Cricetulus griseus: one gene and its partners. The protein of the gene in region 5 interacts with the protein of the main gene of each other region in a biochemical or structural test. Links are inferred from orthologs where the notes say so. Each region holds a gene or a part of one and is shown on either strand. Other genes may lie near its edges.

Region 1 (3,729 bases), about 23 Mb from region 5:
CTGCTCATCTCTGACTACTTCTATGCCTTCCTGCGACGGGAGTATTACCTCACACATGGTCTCTATTTGACTGCCAAGGACGGCACAGAGGCTATGCTTGTGCTCAAGTAGCCCTGGCTGGCACAGAACTGCATGGACAAGAGGGGGAAGGGCCAGGAGCCCGCCAGGTCCCTTATCCAGAGTTGCCAGCAGGCGAGTCCTCAGGCAGAAGAGGTTCAAATCCAGGGTTACAAATCTCTGGTACCATAGGGGACTCATAGCTGGCCCAGGGGGAGAAGTTTGGAGCACCCCACTTGGACCTCCCACTTTGTGACTGCACAGGAAGGAAGGGGAAACCTGCAGGTGAGCAGGGCTTTATAGGTTGTGGCTACTTAATAAATGTGTGGGTTTTTTCATTGTTGTTCTGATGCCATCTATTCCTGGAGTGGGGTGAATCTGGCCCCTAATACTGCAGAGTATCCTGTACTAAGAAGTAGGTTTTTGGAAACCCAAGTCCATAGAACACAAGCCTGTGTCCTGACTGGCACAAGTATGTGGAGACGGTCACCTAGCAGCCCTCCCTACTCCCAAACAAGCAGCTGGAGGCAAAGGGCCAGGCAGGCCTAAGCAATCTTTATTTTGCTGAGGAAATGACCACAGATCCATACACCATGTCAGGACAACGGGGTCAGCCTTTCAGAGATGGGCAGGTCCTGGCAGGAGGCAAATGCCTCAGGTGGATAAGGGACAGGTGGGCAGACAGGCAAGGGGCTAAAAAAAAAAAAAAAAAAAAAAAGACAAACCACACAGCAGGGGTGCTGTTCCCCACCCACTCCCAACTGAGCCAGTACCCAGAGGAGCAACCCTAACGTGACTGGCAGGACCTACACCAGAGCATGGTAGGCTGGCTGGTGTCCCCCACCAGGGGAGGGGTAGGGAGTTCACATCTCTGCCTAACCCACTCGGGAATGAAATAGCTCAGCTTAGGAGCCAGGACCTCCCTGGAGAAAGCTTGACCAGAATCCCCAACCATCCCCCACCCCTCCTCCTGACTCAGAAGCCAAAGGTTTCTTGGGAGGCATAGACCATGTAGAGGAATCCGTCTTCATCCTTCTCCTGTTCGTAGATGTCAGCGATGGGCGTGGATACGCTCACCATGCTGTGCTGGTTCACCAGCAGGAAGAAGGCCTGCGTGGGGTTGAGCTGCAGGCGGCGCCTGCAGAGGCAGGAGGGCATGCCAGGTGAGGAGGTCGCCTGCTGGGGGCCTGGGTGTCCCTCCCGAATCTCCACTTTTGAACCAACACAGCCCGGGCTAGACGCTCTCACCTTTGTAGAAGTTCACTCCAACCCCGACCTTGACCTTGTCCAGCCTCCTAGAACAGGGGCTGGATGCCCTATATCCTGTCCCCTTGCCCCACTCCACCCCTTCCGAGTGGAACCTGGCCCTGACCCCACCCAAGGGCTTCAGGAGGCTGCCCACGCACCGGATGATCTTGACCAACTCGCTCATGTTAACATGGTCTGGGACCAGAAACTTGGTCTTATCCAGGACAGGCAGCTGCTTCTCACCCTTGTAGCGCTCGATGATCACCTGGGAGCATAGTGGGCGGGGGACTCGTGAGCCAGGGGCGGGGCCTGGCAGGACAGGGCGTGGCCGGGGGGGCTAGAGACTCACCGGGATCTTGCTGGGGTGCTGGTCGCGGATCTGCTGCACCTCCTTACAGCGGTCAGCTGCGGACAGCACTCGGCGTGAGGCCCGGCAGGGCTGAGGCCTCCCGCGACTCCGCCTCGCCGTCCCCGAGGGGCGGCTCCGGGCCCGCCCCGCCCCAGCGCCCGCCCCCGGGGCCGTCGGCCCCACAGCCCTCGACCGGGGACGCGGTGGGGAGACGGGCGACCCTGCCAGGCCTTGCGGCCTCCCCACCCGGGGTCCGGCCGGCCGGTGCCTGACGTCACGGGGCTGACGTCACCTGCGGCAATCGGGGTCGGCTGGCACCCCCATCCCTCGATCCCTGCTCGCAGTTCGCCCCCAGGGCCTCACCGAAGCTGCGCCGCTGCTTGAAAGGCCGGTCTGAGGGCATGGCGCGGGCCCGGCGGGGCGCGCAGCCGGGGCTCCGGGGCGCGCGGCTCAGGGATGTGGCTGCGGTTCGGTGCGCCGGGGACTCCGGGGCTCGAGCTCAAGGGCTGCAGGGCTCGCGCTGAGCCTGGCGGTGGTGGCTGCGGGAGGTAACTCGCCTGGGTGACGTCAGGTCACAACATTCCTTAAAGGGGAGGCCGGCGCGCCGCTCCCATTGGGCCGACGGAAAACCCGCCTGCCCGGACCTGTGACGCCACGGCGCAGGCAGCCCGGATTCCCGGCGCAGGGCGCAAGGGGGCGGAGCTCCGGGCGCGTCACGGTCCTGTGACGTCACGGCTGGCGGGCTTGTCTCTTGGCTCCTCAGACTGAGGGGAAAGCCGGTTGGTCGTCCCCTCCAGCGCTTGACACTGCCCCTTCACTGAACTTAGAGATCAAAGGTAGTAACGGAGGACGGGCGGGTTACTACCGGGCGGGGAGGGAGTGGAACGCCCCGGCTTTTAAAAGTTTTACGTGTCTGTGTACGACGCGAGTGCGGGTGCCCGAGGAGGTCAAAGTCGGATTTCCGGAGGCTGGAGTGAGTTACTGGCGGTGCTGGGAACCGAACCGAGCTCCTCTGTAATAGTAGCGAGTGCTCTTAACTGTGGAGCTAACTAACGCTCCAGCTCCCCACTCCCACCCCGCCGGGCTTTAAAAAGTTTCTGCATCAGCCGTAAAAAGCATAGTCTCCCGATGTGGGGTTAATAGGCGATGTAGATAAAGTAGGAGAGAAAAATCACGGAATGGGAGGATGTATCAGAAGCAGCTTACCAGGCAATAGAGAACATGCGGAATTGACAACACACGAACTGAGAATTCACACGTAGAGCCCTTTGAGAAGCTAGAAAGAAGTATAGTCTAGGAATGTTACGCAGGGAACAGTACTTTCCTACCTCGAGGAAGGCTTAAATTCATTTTCCCAGGCTTTATGGGAAGTGGGGAGCATGGACACGGAGAGGCAGCTCCTAAAGAACTTTCAAAATTGGTCTCTCTGTGTAACAGCCCTAGCTGTCCTGAACATACTTTGTAGACCAGGCTGGCCTCAAACACAGAGATTCCCCTGCCTCTGCCTCAGCCTCTGTCTCCTGGAATTAAGGCTTGTGCCACCACTGCCCGGCTTTGTTTTGTTTTGTTTTTTTGTATGTCCTAGGAAGCTGGATATGTTTAAAAGTATATTATTGGGCTGGAGAGATGGCTCAGAGGTTAAGAGCACCGACTGCTCTTCCAGAGGTCCTGAGTTCAATTCCCAGCAACCACATGGTGGCTCACAACCATCTGTTATGAGATCTGATGCCCTCTGCTGGTGTGCAGATATACATGGAAGCAGAATGTTGTATACATGATAAATAAATAAAATCTTAAAGAAGTATATTATTGTCTGCTTGTTCAGGTACATATTTCAAACAGTAAAAGGAAGGCAGCTATATGGCACTGTAGACAAGAGTGTTTGCCCTCAAGCACGAGGACCTGAGTTCAATTCCAAGGTTAGATCAAAGAGGCTGCCCCTGCAGACATCAGCCAGGCCTTATATCCCTCAAATGCTAAGCTAGTATGTAGCCCCCACAAATTAGGGTAGGACAGTAGGTTTCCTGAATTATGGCCTTAAGTCCTATTTAGTACCTTCACTACTACAAGACATT
Region 2 (3,612 bases), on a different chromosome or scaffold from region 5:
AGAGCTGTGAATAGACAGAACATTTGACCTGCAGACCTGGAGGCCCCTTGCTTCCCTACAGGAAGACCAGTGTGCCAGGCAGTATTCCTACCTGAGTTGTGCAAGTCTGAGTTATTCTTCTGTAACAGGTGCCCTAGAAATTGGAGAGAGAAAACAAATTTTAGGTTGATAGCAAGAGGTTATAAATTAAAAGGCATATTGAGGATGGCAGGCTGAACCTGACCTTTTTCCTAGCTACCCTCATAGCTGAACCACCTCAGATGACATCATTACAGGATATTGTCTCAGTGGGTCTCCTCCACTCCTCAGTTTTGCTGTGTAGTGATACATTGTCTGTAATCTAACAAATAAAGCTTGCCTGAAGATCAGAGTGCAGAGCTAAGCCACTAGTTAGCCACACACCTAGTTAAGAGCTAAGCCACTAGTTAGCCACACACACACACACACACACACACACACACACACACACTAAGTGCCACTAATTAGCCACACACCCAAGCCACTAGTTAGCCGTAGAGGACAAGCAGGGTGGCCACACCTTTAATCTCAGCACTCGGGAGGCAGAGGCAGATGGATCTCTGTTAGTTCAAGGCCACCAAGGGCTACATGAGAGTGAATCAGTCTAAAAGAGAAACAGAGCTCATACCAAGGTGATCTCAGCACTTGGGATCCCATGCCTTTAATCCCAGCACTAGGCAGGAATATAAGACAGGTGGAGACAGGAGTGTAGTGTATTCAGTCTGCAGTCATGCTGAGGACAGAATTACCCCTTTTGGCCCCAAGCCTTGGTAGAAATAAGAACTGTCTCGTGGCTGGCTGCTTTGCTTTTTCTGGTCTTTGGTTTGGTGTCACTCTGATTGGCTACACATAAAATCTAAAACAATTCTGTAAGTTTGTTCTTTATTGGTGTTCACCCACACTGGACCTTCCTCCCTCAGTCCTCCCCCTAAAGAGAGAACTCTTCCTCTTGTATTCTTCACTTTCCCCAAACAGCAGGGTTAGCACACACTTACATCTTTCCATCTCCTGTTTACTCAGGCTGTCCAGGAACGCGCTTTTATCTTTCTTCCCTTCAGTCTTCAGGTTGTCTACGAGGAGAGGGTGAAGGATATAGAGGCAACCAGGACCACACAGTGAATCCCTGATTGCTGATATGGGCAGGGAGAAGTGATATTGGTGTTCCTCTCATAGTCTCAGTGGACCAAGAAGGCAGCCAAACAGGGAGAGCTGCCCTAGGGTCTCCCTGAGGTGGTTGTCCAGTACAGCTCAGTCCAGAACAAAGGTATTAAGAGCCACAAACACGAGCCACTGAATTTTGAATTTTCTAGATACCATTTTGCAATCCTAAAAGATGCTGACACCCAGGAAGCTGATGCAGGAGGATGACAACTTTTGGGCTAGTCCACGGTATGTAGCGAGTTTCAGAGTCTGGGATATTTACACAGTGTCTCAAAAGGAAAGAAAAAGGGGGCTGGAGAGAGGCCTCAGTAGTTAAAAGCACCAGTGGACCCAGTCCGACTACCAGCACCCACTGGAACTCCAACCCCAGGGAGTCTGACAACCTCTTCTGACATCCATGGGCACCAGACAAGCACATGATACATGCATACACAACACCCATACAAATAAAATAAATAGAACTTTAAAAAAGAAATGAATTTAAATAGTGTTTTCTTCAGCTCAGAATGTTAAGAAACACTGTCATTTCAGCTTGTAGGATAAAGGCTTACTGCTACCAGGCACAGTGCTGGGTGCTGGAGTCCCAGATGCTTAGAAGGCTCAAATGGGAAGGCCATTGAACTCTTCCATAAGAGACTACCCTGGACAGTACTTCCGTTTGCTTTTGTTTTCATTATTATATCTTATGTTCTATTTTAATATTAAGCCTTTCAGAGTCAATGTTTATTCTTTACCTGCACTATGTGTGAATGCTGTAATTCTGGTGCCCAGGGGTACATGTGGCCAGCAGCTAACAAATTGGAAACATGCTTCTAGCCCCATGTTCACCACCTAGTAATCAAGGAAAAATTCCCAGAGAAGAAGTGCTTTGGCTTTGGGGCTGTAGCATGAGAAATTTCTGGATAATGATGCTTTGAAACTGCCCAGCTTTCAGCTTAGCTTCTGACAGGCTTAGGGGCTAGCACCAAGAGAGTTCAGGCAGCGTCTGGGGTGATGGAAAGAATCCTGAGGCAGATAAGCACAGGCAGTGGCAGCTACACCTCACCTTTTAATCCCTCCAGGCTTTTTATGATGACTGCATGTCTTGCTATTGCTTCCCTGGTTTTTCTCTCCAGGTCCTCAGGAACTGGGGTTGGATTGAGAAACTTAAATTCCACACTCCTGTGAAGATAATGTTGATCTGAGTGGTGAGTTCAGGGGACAGAGAGTGGGCAGCAAGGGTCTGGGAGGTGGTTTCTGGGGTAGAGCCAGGAAGCTGAGTGTCAGGAGGCCAGGATGGGAATATGGTGAAAATAAAAAAAGCTACTGTGCTGCTGTGGCCAGTTTGGTCTTCCCCATCTGCAGCCTAAGTCATTTATAGCAGAGTTATTGGGGGATGTGAACATATTTGGAAATAGGCTGAATGTTGTATGTGCAAGTGAACCAGAAAGCATGGTACACTGGGACGCCCATCATACCTGCTCAAGTTGTCTATGATGCCCTGGAAGAGAAAGAGAGAACTTATCAGAGCTTGCCAGAGTCACAGGTGCCAAAGAAGGGGTTCAGACTCAGCTAGAAGCAGAGTGAGGACACCCCAGTTTTCCGTCCTTTCTCTCTTCTGCCTGTTGTGTGAACATGCCTTTGTATGCATGTGTGTTTCTGTGTGTGAACATGCCTCTGTTTGCATGTGTGTTTCTGTGTGTGAACATGCCTCTATATATGTGTGTGCCTGTGTGCGTGTGCCTGTGTGTGTGTGTGCCGTGTGCTTGTATGGGTGTGTGTGTCCTAGCTGACCTTGAACTCTAGTGATCTAGGGAACCCTCCTACCTCTGGAGTGCTAGAATTACACGTGTGAGACACTGTGCCCAGCTGTTTGAGACAGTGTCTTGATCTTTGCTCATGTCAGCTTTGGACTAGCAGCAGTCCTCTTACCTCAGTGTCCTGAATTACAGGAGGGGTTTCAGTTCTCAACCTTCCTAATGCTGCTAGCCTTTAATATAGTTCCTTATGTTGTGGTGACCCACCCCCCACACCATAAAATTATTTTCATTGCTACATCATAACTGTAAATCTGATACTCTTATAACTTGGAATGAAAATATCTAATATTTTCCATAGTCTCGGGTGGCCCCTGTGAAAGAGTCAGTGGAACCCGCCCACAAGAGGGATCTAGCCACACAGGTTGAGAACTTCTGGGTTAGGTGAAGAAGAGTAGCAGTTGGTGGATTTGTTCCAGAAGGCAATAAAAAGTAGTAAAGGTCATTAGAGAGAACAGCACACTGTGTCAGAGATAGTATGAGTGGAGCCTTGTGGGGAATGACAGGCTTCCCTTTAAAACCTGGAGTGGAGCTCTATCAAAAGTGCTCACTTAACGTAGGAAAGATAAAGGTCGTGGATTCTATGATGGGGTCGGTGGGAGCCTCAGGGAAATAAATCCCTCAGGAAAGGAAAGTA
Region 3 (4,203 bases), on a different chromosome or scaffold from region 5:
GATGCCGGCTTTACACACGGGGCACTCTTGCCGGTCTGGCCGCGTCTCCAGCCACTGCGGGAAAGACAAAGTGTTTGCAGACACACGAAGGTCGTGGAGCCCTCCCCGCCCTCCCCGCCCATGTCAGGAGCACAGGAGCACAGGAGCACATACCCCGAGCCCTCCCCGCCCTCCCCGCCCTCCCCGCCCTCCCTGCCCATGTCAGGAGCACAGGAGCACATACCCCGCGCCCCGCCCATGTCAGGAGCACAGGAGCACATACCTGATGAAGACAGGGCCAGCTGCACACGGAGGAGGAGAGAAACAAAACTCATCACATGGCAGAAAACAGCCGGCACCCTGTGCCCACTGCAGCAGCCGCCCCGGTACTGCGGCTGTTTCTGCCTCCACAGCCTGCGGTCACCGAGGGCATCCTGACAACCGTCCTCCCGACAACCATCCTGCCGACAACCGCTCTCCGACAACCGCTCTCCCAACAACCGTCCTCCTGACAACAGCCCTCCCGACAACAGCCCTCGTCCCCAGGGCCCCAGGCTTCTCCCGTGCAACACATTGTTTCTGCTCCCTCCCTCCCTCTGTCTGCACACACACAGTGACACACACACACACACACTGACACACACACAGTGACACACACAGTGACACACACGCACACACACTGACACACACAGTGACACACACTGACACACACAGTGACACACACACAGTGACACACACACTGACAGACACGCACACACACACAGACACACACACTGACACTCACACACACTGACACACACGCACACACACTGACACACACAGTGACACACAGTGACACACAGTGACACACACACACACACTGACACACACACAGTGACACACACTGACACACAGTGACACACACACAGTGACACACACACTGACAGACACGCACACACACACAGACACACACACTGACACACACACTGACACACACGCACACACACTGACACACACAGTGACACACAGTGACACACACGCGCGCGCACACACACAGACACACACACAGTGTCACACACACACGCACACACACACGCACATACACACACTGACACACACACACTGACACACACACAGTGACACACATGCACATACACACACACACTGACACACACTGACACACACACTGACACACGCACACACACACATGCACATACACACACACACACTGACACACACACAGTGACACACGCGCGCGCACCTCCCTGCCTCAGCCTGTCTATTTTCTGCCTCTTACCCTGATTTCCCAACTCAACAGGGTTCTCTTCAGCCCCCGCTCCGTCCTCCCTTACAGCCCTGCTGCTCCTCCTGTCACATCAGGCGCCAAAGTCCCTCTGTCTGTCTGCCCTTCACAGGGCCTCTGCCCTCCGGCTTCACACCCCTCTCACGTACGCACACACTCTGTCACACAAGCACACAGACACACACACAGTCCCTGTGTCCGGCCGTCCTCTGACGAGGAGCAGCTCCCCTGACCGGAAAGTCTGTCCTGTGTGTTTGTGTCAACCTCGGGCTCGGCCACACCTCAGCGTCCCCGCTCCCACCCCACCCCCTCCCGACACCCTGCTTTCCCCACACCGGGACCCCAGTGCCCACCTCAGGCCTCCCGGGTGTGCGCCTGTGTGGTGTGTGTGAGTGTGTGTCTGTGTGAGCGTGTGTCTGTATGTGTATATATGTGTGTGAGCGTGTCTGTGTGTGTATGTATATGTGTGTCTGTGAGTGTGTGTCTGTGTGTCTTGTGTATGTATGTGTATGTATGTATGTGTACGTGTATGTGTGAGCGTGTCTGTGTGTGTATGTATATATGTGTGTGCGTGTCTGTGTGTATGTATGTGTGTCTGTGTCTGTGTATGTATGTATGTGTGAACGTGTCTGTGTGTACATGTATGTATGTATATATGTGTGTGCGTGTCTGTGTGTATGTGTACATATGTGTATGTGTCTGTGTGTCTGTGTGTATGTATGTATATATGTGTGAGCGTGTCTGTGTGTACGTGTATGTATGTATATATGTGTACGTGTGTGCGTGTCTGTGTCTGTGTGCGTGTCTGTGTGTATGTGTATGTATGTATATAAGTGTGTGCGTGTCTGTGTGTGTATGTATATACGTGTGAGCGTGTCTGTGTGTACGTGTATGTATGTGTGTGCGTGTCTGTGTGTACGTGTATGTATGTATACGTGTGAGCGTGTCTGTGTGTATGTATGTATATAAGTAAGTGTACGTGTGTGCGTGTCTGTGTCTGTGTGCATGTCTGTGTGTACGTGTATGTATGTATATAAGTGTGTGCGTGTGTGTGTATGTATATGTGTGTGCGTGTCTGTGTGTATGTATGTATATAAGTGTGTGCGTGTCTGTGTGTATGTGTGTGTATGTATATGTGTGTGCGTGTCTGTGTCTGTGAGCGTGTCTGTGTCTGTGTGCGTGTCTGTGTGTATGTGTGTATATATGTGTACGTGTGTGCGTGTCTGTGTCTGTGAGCGTGTCTGTGTGTATGTATGTATATATGTGTGTGCGTGTCTGTGTGTATGTATGTATATATGTGTACGTGTGTGCGTGTCTGTGTCTGTGCCCGTGTGTGACGGACGGCTGCCCTCTGCCCTCTGCCCTCTGCCCTCTGCACACCCACCCTCCCTCCCTCCCGCGCTCCGCGCGGCCCTCACCAGTACAGGTGTCCGCACACGCTGACCACAGCCTCGCGAGCGGTCTCCAGACAAATATTACATTCGAAGGTCGCGCCCGCCCCGCCCCGCTCGCGGTTTGGGCCTTCGGGGCCCCCGTCCTCGTCCTCCGCTGCTGCCATGGCCGGTTGTGCTTCGCCCCCACGTCCCCCTCGGCACCCCCAGACACACACACATAGACGCTCACACAGCGCGCACACACACACCCCAGCACGCCAGGCCCGCCTCCTGCCCACGGTCGTTGGGCAGACTTCAAGGCTTTCTCATGACTATTGGTCGAGGCGCCTGCCAATCATGCAGGAGGCAAAGGACGGGATTGAGCTACAGGGCGGAGGCGGGAAAAGGACGTGTGGGTCCCGCCCTCGCACGATGATGATTGGCTGGCGAAGCCTCAGTCACTATGCGGTGCCGAGGGATTGGTAATAATGAGCTCGGCCAGGGAGGTCTTCATTCGTTTACGCAGCTGCCCGTCAAAGCCACAGCTCTGACGGGATTGGCTCGGGCCGGCAGAACTCGCCCACTAGGAGCCGCTCTCTTTCCTTCTCTTCCGCTTTCGAAGAATGTCCGGGTTCCTATTGGACTTCAGAGCGTACGGTTCCAAGTCCGATGATTGGCTGGCACGACGGGGGGCGTGGCTACGGGAAACGAGCATGCGCAGTAGGCGGACGGGGTGGGAGGGCAGGGGCGGCGAGCGCGCCAACCCGGCGAGAGCGGAGTCGCCGGCGGTCCCCCCCCCCCCCCCCCGTTCAACTCCATCCCGTCGCCATGGCAACCGCGCCGCCGCTGGCGGGGGGCCGAGGGTTCGAAGGCCTCGGCTCGGCCTCATCCGGGTCCTCGGACGGGGGCTCCCTCCCGGCTTGATTGGGCGGTTTGCTTCGCCGCTGATTGGCCGAGGCCTGCAGAGGAGCCGGTGCTGAGCTCGGGAGAAGAGGGCGGCGGTAGCGGGGTCGCGGGGTTCAAGATGGCCCCGGGCTCCCTGGGTGACGCAGAGGGCAGCGCTCGGGTCCGCCCCGCCCTCCTCGGCAAGCAGGGAGCAGAGCTGGGGTTCGCCCGGCGAGTGGATGGTGCGGCCGTCGGCGCGCCGCGCTGGTGTTAGCCCGGCTCCCGCGGTTGGACGGCTCGGCCTCTCTAGGTGACCGCCACAGCCGCCCCCGGTGTGATGTGACCCCGGGAGGGCCGGCGCCACCGTCCGAGAGTGGGCGTCCGGGGGCCCGGCCCTCCCCTCGGGTGGCCCGCGGCAGGATGGAGTAGGTCCGCCCCTTCCTTGTCACTTGCCCTGCAGAGTTTTGGATCTTTTTCCTGGCCGCACAGCTCCGAGAGCCGGGGCCCTTCCAACAATCAGTGACCCAAAGTGTGTGGTCCAAGGCGCAGAATTAGGTAACAGTCCTCCCACCACGCCGTGTGGACTCATCCAGGGCAAAGGTGTCCCGGGGCGGGAGACACACACGATAGAAAGCGCCCGTGGCTCCAAACCCCGACAGGTGAGAGCCTGGCGCTCAGCACAGG
Region 4 (4,152 bases), about 110 Mb from region 5:
ATAGCTGCTGGAGTCTAGTCAACAGCTTCAGCCGGCTCAAGAGGGCAGCAGACTGGTGAAGGAGTGGAGGGTGAAAGCTGGGGCTGGGGAGGACAGACAGGGCAAGGATGAGGTACAGGACTGGTTCCTCCTCACCTGGGGATCAGACAGACTGCTTTTGCCATTGGTATCAGGAGAGGTGTCCAGATGTACAAAGTCTCTTGCTGCTGTTCAGAGAAAGGGTAAGTAAAATGAAGGGCAGAGGGCCTCCTGATCCCAAGGTTTTTATGATCCCAAGCCAGCCTTGTTACACACACCTGGAGTCACAAACTCATACACTTTATGAGGATCAAAAGGGTCCTTGCTCTTGTCATCAGCTAATCGCAACACTTCTTTCCGGTTCAGGGCTGACCGGAAGTTCCTCTTCCAGGTTGACAGGTCTGGCTTATCCTTTCCTGGGGTGTAGGCACCACTGGCTTCGGCCCAGGCCTGACAAACCAGTGATTCCAGAATAGGAGGGGAAACGACTTAGACTCTGCCTTTAGGTCCTGACACCTCCCACCATGTTCCATCTTGTGGTTTGAGACTGGGCCCCTACACCTTCCATCCTCATCTTTATCTACTATTTCCTGCACCAAAAGAAATCCTTTTTAACCTGGCAGTGGTGGCGCATGCCTTTAATCCTCAGCATTTGGGAGGCAGAGGCAGGCAGATCTCTGTGAGTTGGAGACCAGCCTGGTCTACAAGAGCTAATTCCAGGACAGCCTCCAAAGCCACAGAGAAACCCTGTCTTGAAAAACAAAATCCTTTTTGGTTTTGAAACAGGGTTTCTTACACAGCTGAACTCCTGCTGATGCCTCCAGAGTGCTAGGATTACAAACTGTGCCACCTTCTCAGCCTTCAAGCCTTTTTTTTTTTTTTTGTTGGGGGGCGGTTTGAGACAGGGTTTTTCTGTATTGCTTTGGAGGCTGTCTTGGAACTAGCTCTTGTAGACCAGGCTGGCTTCAAACTCACAGAGATCTGCCTGCCTGCCTCCCGAGTGCTGGGATTAAAGGTGTGTATCACCAACGCCCGGCTCCAGTCTCTCATTCTATTACTACCTCTAGTCCATGCTATGTCAATGACTCCATCCATAAGGCATTCTCAGACCTTAAGATTTAAGGGTTCTAAAATCAAGAGCCCACCCCCAAAGATCTCCCATCCTCTGCAGCTGTAATTATCAACCTTCTTAATACTGCAGCCTTTTAATACAGTTCCTGCTGTAGTGACCCCAACCATAAAATGATTGTCGTTACTACTTAATAACTGTAGTTTGCTACTGTTATGAATCGTAATATAAATATCTGATCTGGCCGGGTGTTGGTGGTGCACGCCTTTAATCCCAACACTCGGGAGGCAGAGGCAGGCGGATCTCTGTGAGTTCGAGACCAGCCTGGTCTACAAGAGCTAGTTCCAGGACAGCCTCCAAAGCCACAGAGAAACCCTGTCTCGAAAACCCAAAAAAAAAAAAAAAAAAAATCTGATCTGAGACCCTCAAGTTGAGAAACACTGCTATAGCCGGTCCTTAAGCAATCCAAACTTAATTTCCGGGTTATAGTCTTGTAATCTGCTGATCCGTTCCTGTCTATCCCTCCCAGTCCTACCCACCTTCATTAGCAAGACCCCGCCCCTGCCTAGCCACGCCCAGGAACGCCTCTCCAAAGTCTTCCAAAGTCTTTCAAAGTCTTTGGCCCCCAGCACCTGGAAGATGCCAAAGTCAGCCATCTGGGCGTCCTGCCGCAGGCCATGCTTCCAGGGGATCCGGAACCGAGTGCGGCTCTCATCCAGCCAGGCCACGCCTTTCAGCTGCCCCAGGTCCAGCTGCGACACCAGCCAGGGCAAGATCCGCGGTTTCGGGGTTCCCATGCTCGGGCCTGCGCACACAGGGCAGTTCCTAAAGCCTGCGTGTCAAGGGGCAAACGCACTGAAACCTCCTTGACCCGTCACGGCGCAAATCTTTCACTCATGCTTTCGTGGGGGCACAAACGGAAAAGCCCTTCCGCCCTTTCATAGCCAGTGGGGCCGTCTTCGGTAGAAACTCTGTACCTACCCATCAGTTCCTTCTCTGTTAGCCAAAGCAGGTACCCCGCTTCTAGGGTGGAGCCCTCTTTCCCTAGTCTTTCCAAGACTGACTGCTCCCTCACCCACAGTTCCCTTGCACCGAAAACCCTGGCTTATTTCCAGAGTATTCTCTCAAGTGCAGTCGCCTGTTTCCAGGCTTCTTCTATTTTGATTTTTCTATATTCTTTTTATGGATGCTTTGAGACAGGGTCTTAGTACGTAGCATAGGCTGGTCTTCAACTGCAACCCAAACTGGCCTGGGACTCTCTGTGTGGCCCAAGCTGGCCTCGGATTCCACTGTAAACAAAGGTAGCCTCAAACTTATCCAGGAGCCCAGGCTAGTCTGCAGCTCATCCTGAGGTCCAGACTGGCCTTGAATTTCCAGCAGTATCGCTACCTTCAGCCCGAGTGCTGAGAGACTGCAGGCCTGCGTCTTCATCGCGCGGCCCTTTGGTTCTCGGTAGCCGAGCTCCTGAGGCCGCCACCCTCCCGATTCTTCCGCGTTACCTACCGGGGAGGAATCGCGCGCTCGTGGGGCGCCGGGGCCAACACTGGCTTCAGGGCTCCCAGTGGTTCTGAGTCTCGCAGCCACGCACCCTTCCCCTCCTGTCAGCTAAGCCTCCGAGCGCTGGGACTGTCTTTTCTAACGATATTTTGGGATGAAAACAATTTTCTCATAATTTGGGTAAGAAACGCAAAAGCCGAGAGAGCACCTCTGGGCGCCACCCAACTCTCTCAATGCCCTTTTTTGGACTTCCGCCCATAGGCATGCTGGGAACGCCATATGCAAATGAGACTGCAACACAACGCCACGCCCCTTCAACGTTGGGGCGGTTAGCAGGTCGGCCCAGTGCGCAGGCGCGGGAAAGTTGAATTTACCAAGAAAAGTTTGATGAAATTGAGTGAAACCGTGGGAGCCGGCGCCGGCGCGACTAGAGCAGAGCCCCAAACCAGGTGAGCGGGGTGCCAGGGAGGGACTAGAACAGAAAGGGAAGGGAACCAGTTGCACGAGCGGCCACAGTCAGTCCTGCCTCTCTGAGTCCGAGCACCCAGAGGCTCTGGTGCTAGCCGAAGGTAGTTGGAACTACATCTCCCAGCAGGCTGCTCGGCGAAAAAGCGGGGAAATCGGGCCAATGTGTACCGCCGAGCGTACTGGGATTGGTAGTTCTCTATCCCCTAAGGACTTAGATACCTGGATGAGTGCATCTTTCAGCATTCAGGGCTGAGAGTTCCAAACCCCATTCCCTCTCCTGGATGTAGGAGTTTAAGCACTCAGCTACCTCCTGTCTTAAACCCTTCTTTCTCCAGCCCCCTTTTCCTCCACGGAATCAACTCTGTCTCACTGACCAGCCTTCTGTCTCCCGAGTTCTGGCACCCTGTTCATTCAGGGACTCAGAAGTTTGAGCTTGTCACCACACTTGGGTTCATGCTCTGTTTTCTCCCTCAGGTGCCTCCATGGCCGGCTCTGAAGATCTGGGGCTCCGAGAGGACACACTTAGGGTTTTGGCTGCCTTCCTTAGGCGCGGTGAAGCTGCTGGGTCCCCTGTTCCAACTCCACCCAGGTGAGTGAGTGTCCATTCCCCCAGGGCCAGCTTTTGACTGGAAGGTCTTCCTGAGTCTTGGTACTGGTCCCAGCCTGTCTCCTTTCAGATCTGACCCCATATGCCTATCTCGAGTTTGAAGAGTGATCTTCCATGGGGTCACTCCGAGGTTCTTGTCCCCAGGAACCCTGCCCAAGAGGAGCCAACAGATTTCCTGAGCCGCCTCCGAAGATGTCTTCCTTGTCCCCTTGGGAGAGGAGCCCCTCCCCTGGAGTCCTCTCGGCCCTGCTTCCTTCCCCTACGCCCCTGCTATGGCTCCCAGCCTGGTAAGAGATTATCCAGATCACCTGTGAAGCTTTAATGGGTAGGAGCTTTGGTTAGGAAAATCCAGACAGTACCTGTTGCAAGGTGAACACTGCTCAGTTTTTTTTTTTTTTTTTTTTTTATTTTGGCTTGTTTTTTTTTTTATTAAATTATTAATATTTTCACATGTACTTTCCCTCTCCCTCTCCCTCCCCCACCCCCAGAACAC
Region 5 (2,800 bases):
TTGCCTTGAAATTCAGAAAGTACAGGTCATTAGGTCATTTTTCCCTAGGACATGCAAGGAAGATTGTGATAGCCACCCCAATCCCTAATGCCTCTAAGGTTTATGTTCACAACAGAGCTGAGATAGAGTTGGCTCCATGCCTATCCCTTGTCCAGCAAAGGGTACCTTTAAAAACCCATGCGCATACCCTCGATATGTCTCATTGTATTTCTTTTCTTTTCTGGAGACAGGATCTCACTGTGCAGCTCTCGCTGTCCTGGAACTTGCTCTGGAGACCAGGCTGGCCCTAAACTCACAGAGATTCACCTACCTCTGCCTCCCGAGTGCTGGGACTAAAGCTGTGCACTACCAAAATTGGCCTAAACCTACCTCATTGTCTGATGTGACTAAACTTCCTGCCCATGGAAGAAAACAGAATATGCTAGCACCTGTCTCTAACTGTGAAGCCAAGAGACCCAGCACCTTTCCATTTAAAAGTCATAACATGAGGAATTGGATACCAACTCCTAAGAAATGCAGAACTCACAGGTTTTCACAGATAAACTTTTAATTTAATTATCTTGATAACATTAGAACACATTAGCACATATGTATGCATATTTGCCGCATCTCACAGGAGAGAAAATTGAAGCCCAGAGGTGCACACTTTGCCAGAGATCACAGGGCCAGAGAGACAGAAGCACTATGTAGGCCAAAGCTGTTCTCTCAGAAGCAAAGAGGGTAACATTACTACCATGTACTCTGCCTCTCAAGCTCACCTTAGTTCAACCAGGCTGGGCAGGAGTGTAATTACTTGGTAGTCACACCCTCTGGGCTAGGCACTATGTAAATATCTATGTTCTTCAGTCTCAGAAAAGCCCAGTGAAAGGGTTCACTGTCCACACTGGGAAAAAAGACTACAGAAGCTAAACATCTGCTAAAGCCAGAGAAAGCTTAGAACTGAAATTCAAACCCAGCCTGAGCTCTGCCCACTAGGTATTCCATCATCCAGTGTAGGAGACTAAAGAGAATGGAGACCAGGAGGGAGGCGGTGAAGAGGTGGAGTAAGGAGGCTGGAGCAGGGCTCCTAGTGTCTTTCTCAGGCCTGGCAGCTGCTTCTGGCTTTCTCAGAGTCCACAGGGAACCTCCAGACCTTCCCTTAGGGTTGCCTGACTGTGGAGGGGGACCAGAGAGACAGGACTTAAACAAAGCTCCCTAGAAACCAGCCACTCTGCTGCAGGCTCTAGTACCGAGGCCTTAGGCCAGGCTGCTGGTGGAAGGCACACGATGTTACGGGAGCTCTCACCAATACACCCGTGCTTGTGTTTCAAAAGACCTGGGCAGGATGAGAGGCTCTGTCAACAGAAGTGTGATACCTCCCCATCTTCAGGCTTCAGCCAACAGGGATGACGTTGGTGGGGACACCTCCTTAGGAGCACATAGCACAAAATCCTAAACCGCCATGTGGGCAGGCCAGAAGCAGTGGAGGTAATCCAGTGCCCCAAAGAGCTAAAGACCAGAAGATGTCATGAACTAGGATGGAAAGAATGTCTCTCCCCTACCCCACAGATGGCTTGATGGACCTCACCATCTCTAAGTTCCCCTGACTTAGCCTCCACCAGTCCGAGCCTAGAGACCATGCTTGGCAGAACTGGGCAAGTGCGTGGCACACAGCTGAATCTTCATTGGGCCAGGTGCCTACTACGGTACAGCATCACTCCCAGGAATGCAGCCAAGAGTGCACCAGTTGCCCCGAGCCACTTAGCCCAGGATATTTGACTGACACAAAGCTCTTCAACTTCTGGGGACTCCGGGATAGCTAGTGGCCCAGGGTTTCCCACCAGAAGGTCAGCACTGGGGTCTTCATCCACCTGGATCCTAAAGGACGAATATTCATTCTCCTCTGGACCATGATTGGGTTCGGAGCCCAAGGAGCTGCTAGGGCTGATGGCAAGGTCCATAGAGCATCCTGAGAATGGCTCGTCCACCTGGGACAACAGTGCACCTGGTTTGCCCATCTCTGGCCCAGAGTGCAAGCTCCTGGAACTGATATCTGGTCTGGGCAAGCTGCTTCTAGTGGTGACTGTGCTTGCTGGAGGCTCTAGGGTCTCCTGGAAACACAAGGAGAATGTTGGAAGGGATTCGGATGACAGGGAGACAAACTTGGTTGTGTGGCCAGGGCATGAACTAGCATCCCACAATAGCTCAGACCACCCTCTCTTGGAGGTTCAACTCATCAGTGATACACACACAGATGGGAGGGAAGTGACCAAGACCCTGCAGTAAGCCTTCCAGAGCAGCCCTCTCCCACTCACTGAGCTGCTGTGAGCATCACTGCTAGGGAGCCCTTGCTGGGGTGTGACCCATCTTACACTACCTGGGCCTGAGAGTCACAGGGCAGCCCAAGAATCCAAGGCTTGTGAACTTGGTTCCTTTAGGGTAAACAGGCCTTGGGGGAAGTAGCTGTAGGGGTCACTGAGTTAGAGTAGCTGCTCCAAGCTAGATGCTTGAGACCACTGTTCAATGAACAAGGCACATGAGCCATCAAGTTCATCCCTCACTACTTCATCTACGAAATGGTACTGCTTAACTGGGGGCTCTGAGCTCCAAGTGAGTTAATGTACGTGTCAGTGGGGGTGGTCCCATGCCCCACTCTGCCGAAGGTCTATCATGCCTCCTAGAAAACAAGGGGTAAGTGCTGGATGAGGCTGATTCCCCTCGGTCCCAACACCTTGAAGAACCAGACCAGAGACAGAACAGAGACTAAAAGGGTCAGAGGGCAGGGCAGAGGACCAGCTGTCTTGGCAAAGTGGACTGAGTG

What was found.
Region 1: the proteins of Mavs (region 5) and Map1lc3a form a complex in vitro, tested with the Homo sapiens proteins (2 studies listed by BioGRID and IntAct, with this or other methods). The link is inferred for Cricetulus griseus from reciprocal best matches to the Homo sapiens genes MAVS and MAP1LC3A.
Region 2: of the proteins of Mavs (region 5) and Trim31, one has a biochemical effect on the other in vitro, tested with the Homo sapiens proteins (2 studies listed by BioGRID). The link is inferred for Cricetulus griseus from reciprocal best matches to the Homo sapiens genes MAVS and TRIM31.
Region 3: the proteins of Mavs (region 5) and Rnf5 form a complex in vitro, tested with the Homo sapiens proteins (2 studies listed by BioGRID, with this or other methods). The link is inferred for Cricetulus griseus from reciprocal best matches to the Homo sapiens genes MAVS and RNF5.
Region 4: the proteins of Mavs (region 5) and Irf3 form a complex in vitro, tested with the Homo sapiens proteins (2 studies listed by BioGRID). The link is inferred for Cricetulus griseus from reciprocal best matches to the Homo sapiens genes MAVS and IRF3.

What each region holds. Positions count from the first base shown.
Region 1 is NC_048599.1:24,365,380-24,369,108, forward strand, and holds Map1lc3a (microtubule-associated proteins 1A/1B light chain 3A), read right to left. Parts: upstream 2,319-3,729; 5' UTR 2,058-2,318; coding exon 2,018-2,057; intron 1,711-2,017; coding exon 1,655-1,710; intron 1,571-1,654; coding exon 1,464-1,570; intron 1,196-1,463; coding exon 1,033-1,195; 3' UTR 592-1,032; downstream 1-591. Other genes in the region: Pigu (phosphatidylinositol glycan anchor biosynthesis class U protein precursor), read left to right, coding at 1-111. UniProt on the Homo sapiens protein: Ubiquitin-like modifier involved in formation of autophagosomal vacuoles (autophagosomes). While LC3s are involved in elongation of the phagophore membrane, the GABARAP/GATE-16 subfamily is essential for a later stage in autophagosome maturation.
Region 2 is NW_023276806.1:228,838,704-228,842,315, forward strand, and holds part of Trim31 (E3 ubiquitin-protein ligase TRIM31), read right to left. Parts: intron 2,660-3,612; coding exon 2,637-2,659; intron 2,341-2,636; coding exon 2,225-2,340; intron 1,089-2,224; coding exon 1,014-1,088; intron 134-1,013; coding exon 92-133; intron 1-91.
Region 3 is NW_023276806.1:231,214,242-231,218,444, forward strand, and holds the start of Rnf5 (E3 ubiquitin-protein ligase RNF5), read right to left. Parts: upstream 2,898-4,203; 5' UTR 2,820-2,897; coding exon 2,680-2,819; intron 282-2,679; coding exon 263-281; intron 55-262; coding exon 1-54. UniProt on the Homo sapiens protein: Membrane-bound E3 ubiquitin-protein ligase that mediates ubiquitination of target proteins. May function together with E2 ubiquitin-conjugating enzymes UBE2D1/UBCH5A and UBE2D2/UBC4.
Region 4 is NC_048599.1:153,883,788-153,887,939, reverse strand, and holds the start of Irf3 (interferon regulatory factor 3), read right to left. Parts: upstream 2,842-4,152; 5' UTR 2,591-2,841; intron 1,920-2,590; 5' UTR 1,885-1,919; coding exon 1,627-1,884; intron 469-1,626; coding exon 297-468; intron 207-296; coding exon 136-206; intron 84-135; exon of another isoform or gene 1-83. Other genes in the region: Bcl2l12 (bcl-2-like protein 12), read left to right, coding at 3,535-3,641, 3,804-3,946.
Region 5 is NC_048599.1:47,325,312-47,328,111, forward strand, and holds the end of Mavs (mitochondrial antiviral-signaling protein), read right to left. Parts: intron 2,091-2,800; coding exon 1,662-2,090; 3' UTR 528-1,661; downstream 1-527.